Linked DNA regions of Drosophila melanogaster. The protein of the gene in region 2 interacts with the protein of the main gene of each other region in a pairwise test. Each region holds a gene or a part of one and is shown on either strand. Other genes may lie near its edges.

Evidence for each region.
Region 1: the proteins of Rpt6 (region 2) and ERR interact in a two-hybrid assay, tested with the Drosophila melanogaster proteins (2 studies listed by BioGRID).

The regions. Positions count from the first base shown.
Region 1 is NT_037436.4:8,182,741-8,187,402, forward strand, and holds ERR (estrogen-related receptor), read right to left. Parts: upstream 2,931-4,662; 5' UTR 2,850-2,930; coding exon 2,827-2,849; intron 2,482-2,826; exon of another isoform or gene 2,303-2,481; coding exon 1,744-2,302; exon of another isoform or gene 1,688-1,743; coding exon 779-1,687; 3' UTR 621-778; downstream 1-620.
Region 2 is NC_004354.4:21,314,319-21,318,339, reverse strand, and holds Rpt6 (regulatory particle triple-A ATPase 6), read right to left. Parts: upstream 2,289-4,021; 5' UTR 2,163-2,288; coding exon 2,145-2,162; intron 2,082-2,144; coding exon 1,937-2,081; intron 1,792-1,936; coding exon 737-1,791; 3' UTR 677-736; downstream 1-676. Other genes in the region: anox (anorexia), read left to right, coding at 1-276; CG1801 (uncharacterized protein), read left to right, coding at 3,285-3,502, 3,604-4,021.

The DNA.
Region 1 (4,662 bases), on a different chromosome or scaffold from region 2:
AATTGGTGATGATGGAACGTCTCTAGTCTGCAAATGTAAATATGACCATCGTTAGCACTAATTGTAAGCCCTCAAGGACCACAGAATACCTTTGTCATGGTTAATTTTTTGAAGTTTTGCGATATATCAGCCTATGTATGGATTAGGAAATAGTGATGTATAAATGCGATCAAATGCACTGAATTCTAGAAAACTAATTTGAATTTGTTTAGGAAAAGAAAATCCCCAAAGAATACAGAACTTAGGGAGTATGGAAACAACAGTTACAAACGGTTTATTATTCACGGACGACATTGCTATTCTTTTGACCGCATGTGTACCACATAGACACAGAATCACTGGGTTACATGACACTTAGAAACAGTATAATCCATTGTATTGTAGAACCACTATCGTATTTTAAAAGTGCCCACAAATTCATACGTTACATCAGAAGGTTGCGGCATATACATATATCAGAACCAGTGAGAATTGAACAAATTATTGAAGATCTGTGACTCACAACTTTAGACACATAACACCTATATGCGCCTTTAACCAGTGTAAGCACACCCCGATTCTAGAAGATAAGTAGGGTTTTCCAGTTGCTGTAGTTGGTAGTCCATTAAAAGAGATTTTTTCTGCGAACTAATCTTACCCGACAAGTATTTTACTATTTATATACATGGCTTATCCTACGCTTAATCTACTCTAGTATACATCCATATATACCTAAGACTATATTTGCACCTTTGCTTATCAGCTAGATCAACTAGTTTGGGCGCCCGCATAATCCTTTTCACCTGGCCAGCGGCTCGAGCATCTCGAGGAACAGTTTCTTCATGGTAATGACTTCATCGCGTGCAATTCCACGCCAAAATCTTCGCAGGATATCATCCGCCTGCCGCAGCGAAGGCAGCAAAAGCAGCAATTGTTGCTGATGCGACACGGCCGACGAATGACGCAGCAAGTAGACCACATCGTTTAGAGAATTAAGAATCGTATCACGAAATGCGCGCAGGGAACTCTGATCATCCAGCAGAATGTCGCAGTTGGCCAGCAGGAGCGCCTTTAGCAAGTAGTACTCCTCCCTTCGTGGCGATATTCTTTCCATGCGCTGTGCGATCTGGACGCAGTGGTAGTAGAACTCCGTGTAACCGCACTCCTTGGCCAAATGTTCATCCATCCAGACATCCGTGGCGAAGCATAACTTGCCATTGAACGGTAGGGACCGGAAGGTCAGCTGGAGCGTCAGGATCTCTGCCCACGACACCTGGAGAAGCTTCATCTGGTCGTTAAGTGGCAGATCTATAAAGCCAGGTATCTGCTTGGCCCAGCCAATGACGCTGACCAATTCCTTGTCGTAAATATCACTAAGGACGCTTAGTATCTCATTGGGATCATTGTTGTTGTTGTTTTGGAAAATGCAAGTCCCATTGGGCGTAACAACGCTGGACTCCAGTTTTATGCTGCCCGAGGAGGATGAGGCCTCATCATTAGTTATGCTAGTCGTGTGGACTTGCGGCGGCGGCGTTTGGACGCTCAAGGCATCCGGCTCATATGAATTGAGCACCTCCAGTATCTTGACATCGCACAGCGAGGTGGTGTTGGATTGGTATAGCAGCTGCATAGTCTGGTAAGAGTTTGATACAGGATTCCTTCGGTACTTCTGCCGTCCTCCACGAACTCGATCCAAGCGCACACCCTCCTGAAAAGTTAAAGCGATTAGAGTTTAGGAACTTTAACTCGGGACTATGAAATTACCTTGAGCATGCCCATTAGTAGACATTTCTGGAAGCGACACGCTTGGCAGGCCTTGCGTCTCCGCTTGTTAATCTCACACTCGTTGTTCGCCGGACACGTGTACTCGATGTTGCCTTGGATGGTGCGTTTAAAGAACGCTTTGCAAGCCTCACAACTCGCCACACCATAGTGGAATCCACTGGCCACATCGCCACAAACCAAACACAATCGGCGGAGCTCGTCCCTGACGGATCCCGATCCAGCTCCGGCACTCGCATTGGTCGCATTTCCACCACTCGTACCACCACCTCCTCCTCCGCCATTGCCGCCACTTGTACCACTTCCTTTCAGACTATCGCCATCATTGCTTAAGGATACATTGTGCAAATCGCAGGATAGAGAGGTCGTCGAGCTGCAGAGCTGCCTTTCCGGCGAAACCGAGGGCGAGGATTTCAGGCCGTTTGTGCCACTCTGCGTGGCCGTTGACTTGGAGCTGGGACTAAAGCAGGACGCCGATGGAGTGTCCACCTCCTGTTTGATGTGCAAGATGCTGACGCCGTCGGACATGTTCGTGCCTTGGCTGGGTGAGAAAAAAAGAGTTGCGGATAAAATAAGAAATATGTTTCAACAAGTTAAAGCCTTTGATTTGAACTTCAAGAAAATGATTGATTAGATAGAGGACTCGAGATACAAGGTTTAGGATAAACGATATGGTACGATATGAGGATCAACCCAAAATGCGGAGAGAAATGAACAAGTAAAGAGTTGAAATGTGGGAAAAACGTTCAATTTCGCCAAATCACCGCGATAAAGATCGCTTTAGTTTAATGTCAAATAGAACGCGCTGCACAGTGGTAAACATAGAACCCAAAAACGGGTACTTTACAATTCCAACGCTGTTATCTGGACTTATGAATGAGTAGTGCCATTGGAGCCCACAGTGCTGGGCTAGTCGCATGAAACCTGGTCACGGAATTCTTAATGAATGCAAAACGTAATTGTAATTAAGCCGCGCAAAAACCAAAACAAACGGCGGTCCGTCCAGTGCAATTCGAATGCGATCCTCGGATTCACAAGTGAACGTATGCAAGCTCTATAGCTTACCCTTCTCCCGCGTAGAACTTCATCGGTGGTCGTGGAAAAGTACGGGACAGAAATGAACTGAAATCCGAACCGCGCGCCGTGAGTGCGATAACAGCACTGTGCGTGGAGTACCTTCCAGCTGAAGGTACTACAAATCACGACGCACAGTGCTGACATTGATTAGGCAAAAGCGAAGTAAAATAAAATCGAAAAGGGACAGTGGTGGAAGCGAAGCTTTAATACCCTAACAATTGGCAACCAATTGGAATGCCAGCACTCTGACCTCATTATCAGCTAGGCACTGAACACGAGTCTATATTTAGACTAGTCATATACAATATACATAATCTGTCTGCCAGGAAATGGTCATATATCCCTACTATCGTAAAGCTCCTACAATTAGTGTGTTGCTGCACCCAGTCAACTCTGTGTCAGGGTATAAAACGCGCGCTAGCAAAGACAATGGGGGGCAGTAGTGGTGTAGTAAGTAGACGGCGGACGACATCGGCCAGGTTGCAGATGAAAGATAAGCAGCACTAAGCACTCTGCTCTTATCAGCCCAAGGGAAGCCGAAGCCAGAAGATTGTGATTGCGGCCCAAGGTGGGCCTGTCCGCCTCTGTTTACATACTTACATAAAATCGTTCTGAGGATCTTTTGTGTAATCAGCTCCACTGTAACAACGTCAATACATATCGGCCTCCTCGACCGTTAGCATGTAGTACTTGTTTTGGTCCGAGTTGAGCACCTTCTTGTTATTGCTTATGTATTCGTTCCTCAGCATTTTTCGATGCTCGAGTCATAATTGTTTATTCACTGGTCATTATTACTGGACATCGTGGCTTTTGGCGACCATCGGTTATTCAGTTGCACTTTCTATGAGAATGCAGACAGCATCTGCATCGATTTTGTGCGCCTGGATTGGGATTTGGATTTGGCACTCGGGCAAGGCACGAAACGTCACTCTGCGCGGATACGAGTCACATTGTTTGGGGGCTCTTTATTGTGAGCATGCTGTTCTCGCTGGTTTTCGTGCAGATATTTGCATATTGGAAAGATTGAAATGTAATTTTATTTTCTTTTTTGGTGAACCAGACCTGACCAGGGCTGGCAAACACTGAACACCTATCCAGGGATGCAGACTATGCTGGCTCGTGCTCACGATTCGGTGGTTCGCTTTTCGGAACTAAAACACTGCCGCAATTACTTTACAGACTTATTTCATTTTTTAAATAAAACTTATAGTAATGTATATAATCGTTTGCATAATGTTTTACTCTAAAATAACTAACAATGGCATTTAGTTTTATTAGTTTCGTGGTAGATGCTTATCCTGAATGCAAGTGAATGATTTTCAATATGTATGCAGCTCAGGTGCAGACGCAGCCCTTTCCAGCACTGGCGCATGCAACTCTGCTCTCGATTAGCACTCCCTGGTTCGCTCTGCTCTGTTGCTGTCCCACTTGCCTTTGTGTGGGTGCTGGTGTGTGTGCAAAACAGAGCAAAAACAATTGCGCGACAAGAAATCCAAATATCATTAAACATTACGTGGATTCAGTTTAATAAACGCCTTGCAGCCAACCACTAGTCAACAGCGGTGTCCTGCGTATATTGATAGGGCCGAGGCAGAGGTGTTAGCTATACAAATAGGTACAAATAAACGATTCTCAGTCACGTATGTACATTTCGCAAGCGTTTGGGTGTGTGTGTGTGTTTTGTTTGTTGTTGTTGCTTTTATCAGCAGCCCCAAAAAGTGTACACACACTAGTGCAAAGTTTGTTATTGTATTTATTAACATATATTTACTGCTTTGGCCCACGCTTTGTTTGCGCCATTCGCTATTCCGTAATGCGCCATCG
Region 2 (4,021 bases):
ATCCACTGGGCTACCGATCGCAATGCCGTCGAAATCATACAGTTCCTGGTGCGGAGTGGGGCCAGTGTAAATCAGCGAGATGCGGAGCAACAGACTCCGCTGCACTACGCCGCCAGTTGTGGACACTTGGAGGCGCTCCAATGCCTGTTGGAGCTACACGCCAGCCTGGAGCTACGCGATTCAGATGGACAGACTTGTTACGACGTGGCTGACGATGAGCAGATCTGCCAGGTGCTTCAAACGGAACGGGAACGACTCGCTGGATCCGCGTCCTAATGTCAAAATCTTAAGTTGTTCGGTGCTCATTTGCTTTAAAAACAGCAAGGTGTTGTGAACCATTGTAAATCTCCGACAAGTCCCCTGTAAGTTCTTTGGAACTATAATAAACATACATACATAAATGTAATTTTGGAAGTACTTTCCTTTCGGATTTTTAGGAATCATTGAGATCGAAAAAACATAAAAAAGAAAGAGATGGATAACCTCTCTTTTTTTGTTCTGATCAAGCAGCCAGTTGAAAACACTGCAATGTACTTTTTACAAAGCTGCTACTGTAATCTGATAATCTATTCAATTCTTCAGATATCATTGAACGAAAGTTATCTGTGAAGATCATAATTGGGTTGTGCGTACTGACTAAGGAGTAAATCCAATGACACAATAATGCATTTATGTTACTAACTGATGTATTTATTGAAAATAATATAAGGGTTCTTTTGCAATGGCCGATCAACGCCTACTTCCACAGCTTCTTGATAGACATGTTCTTCTCCGAGTCCTTCTGCATCACCTTGGCCACAGCCATCTCGAAGTCCTCCTGGGTGACATGGACGCGTCGTTCGCGCAGCGCATACATGCCGGCCTCCGTGCAGACGCCCTTGACTTCCGCACCTGATGCGCCTGGCATTAGCTCGGCGATCTTGCGCAGATTAATGCCACGCGTGAGGTTCATCTTACGGGAGTGGATCTTCAAGATGTCCAGACGCGCCTCCTCGTTTGGTGGCGGGAACTCGATCTTGCGATCAATACGGCCGGGACGCAGCAGAGCGGGATCCAGGATGTCAATGCGATTGGTGGCCATGATCACCTTGATGTTCTTGGTGGCCTCAAAGCCGTCCAGCTGGTTAAGTAGCTCCAGCATAGTACGCTGCACCTCGGAATCGCCGCCGGAACCTGACTCAATACGCGACGAGCCAATGGAATCGATTTCGTCCATGAAAATAATTGATGGTGCATGTTCCCGGGCCATTACAAAGAGTTCTCGAACCATGCGCGAACCCTCGCCGATGAATTTCTGGACCAGCTCTGAGCCAGAGACGCGAATGAAGGTGCACTCGGTGTGATGGGCAACGGCCCTGGCCAGCAAAGTCTTTCCTGTACCTGGAGGTCCATAAAGGAGCACTCCCTTCGGCTGGGCAATACCCAAGGCATCAAACAGCTCTGGATGCTTTACGGGCAACTCAATCACCTCCTTGATCTCTTTAATCTGTTTGTCCAGGCCGCCAACCATTTCGTATGTGGAGTCAGGAACTTTTTCAACCATCATAAGCGAGACCAGCGGATCCACCTTATTGGGCAGAATCTTGTGCAGCGTATAGCTCTCATTGCGCAGGGCCACGCGGCAATTGGGGGTTACGTCGTTGATATCTATGTTTTTGTCCAGATCGACGACGAACTTGCCCTCGGGATGCACCTTGACCAGCACTTTCTTCTTGTCCATGGGCTTCACAACCTCGCCCACATAGCTACCCTGTTCCTGGAGCAGCTGCAGCTCCTCCCGCAGCATCCGAACTGCAAAAGACGTGCTAATTAGGATTGCTTTCTCAAATTTAAAGATTTTTTGATATTAAGACCAAGAACAAGTCTTATATGTTTTCTATATCCTACAGCTAACCAACTATGCACATTATCTACATATGTGTAACAGTAAATTTACCTTTAGCATTGAGCTCATTGCGCTGGGCCTGCAGTCGTCTCAAATTCTGGTGCTTCTCGGCCACCACCAGCTGCAGTTCCTCGATCTTTTGGATGTAGTAGGACCGGAATCCCTCGCCTTTATGGTAGGCCGACTCGATTTCCATCTGCGAAAACATGGAGCATTGGTTTTTCGCGGTGGAAGAGCTGGGGGAATCAAATGTACATACCCGATTCGTCACCGTCATCTTTCGTTTTCTGTTTACACTTTAATTTGTTATTATTTGTCGAACTGAAGGACCACAATGCAAGATGTCGAATTAATTCCTCTTTATTGTATGACTCTGCATTTGCTTTTCGAGATGACACATGCCGGTTATCGCACTGCATTCGGAATATCGATGCCATCGAGCAATCGGCATCGATAAAAACGCTAGGTGGTAAAAAACCTAGCTAAGGTTTTCGAATTAAATGTGTCCAGTAAACAATTAAAATTAAATATAACAAAACACGACCTTACTCGTAGGATTATACCCGTCGTAGAGTAAATGGAGTGTACTAGATACGTTGAAAAGTATGTAACAGGTAGAAGGAAGCGTGTCCGACCATATAAAGTTTATATATTCTTGATCAGGATCAATAGCCGAGTCGATTTGGCCCTGTTCGTCTGTCCGTCCGCATAAACTTCAAGATCTTAGGAAGTTTAAAAGCTAGAAGGTTGAGATTAAGCATACAGATTCTGGAGACAGCGCTAGTTTGTTGACCCAAACCACCCAAAACTGCCACGCCCACTTTTTTAAAAAATGTCTTAATATTTTATTTTTATATTAGTCTTGTAAATTTCTTTCGACATGCCAAAACCGATACATTTTTTCAATTTATTTACCAATTTCTAGACAGAAAAATGATGATATTTCTCTGAGTAACGGTTATCTGATAGTCGGGGAACTCGACTATAGGTTTCTCTCTGATTCGTGGTAAAATACATTGTGTTCTCTCTTGTTTTTGCGTAGCACCAGCGATTTTTAAGTAATGAACTTGAATTAGCCTAATACCGCTGCTAATGAAAAAAATGTAATGTATTTCTAATTAATTGTGAATACTTAATGTGACAAATTCTAAGCTTGAAGGTGTTCAATATTATCTATGAAAATTTCAAAACATTGGGCATGTAAATGCGTAGTCTGAAATAGTCATCAAAATGTGCTTTGAGAACAAAGTACTGGTATGTTTTAAGGCAAAATAAGAATATTTTCAAAATCCCCTGCCGAAAATCAAACTTCTCACACTCAAACCATCCGTTTTGTGCGGGAGTGCAGACCCGCCAACCAATTTCTGTCGTTTGTTAAATTTATATTTTAAATTGTAAAATGCCGGCCAGCAAGGGTCTTCTTTTCAAGCGCTACATCCGCATCGAGTTAAATCTGTGGCGGCGGACGCTCTTCGAGATCGTCGCCCTAGTGATAATGGTCCTAGTGATCTTTCTCAACCCCATCGCTCACTCCAAAAGGCTTCTATACACGACCACCGAGAACGAAAACGAGCAGAGCATCGTGTCCCACAAACTGCAGGACATAAATATATTGACGTAAGTGCATAGTATTCACCTACAACCTTTTGAATGTAGCGCCATCCAAAGGCGCAACTTAATGCTCCTACCTATTTATATGGTTTTGTTACCTTCCGCAGACGCATGGCAGACTCGAAGCGGGAGAAAACCAAGTACATCCTGGCCTTCACGCCGGAAACGACGTTTACATCGGAGGTGACCAAGAATGTGGCCAAAACGCTGGAACTGAGCTCAACCGTGGGCTACGAGAGCGAGTCCGAAATGCAAAATCAGTTCGATGAGCGGACTACCCTGGCGGGCATTGTTTTCAATGATCTGCGCGATGACGGCACTCCTTTGACTCTGTCCATCTCGATTCGGTTTCCCAGCGAGTTCCGCACGATCGCTCCGTTCCTCACCGAGGATCGCCTGTGGATAACCCGCTGTTCGGGTCGCATTAATCCCGGACGGGATCGGGCCAAGCACGATAAGCAGCAGGATATATATATTCGCGAGGGGTTTCTGCAGCTGCAGCACCAGATCTTTGTGGAATGGTAC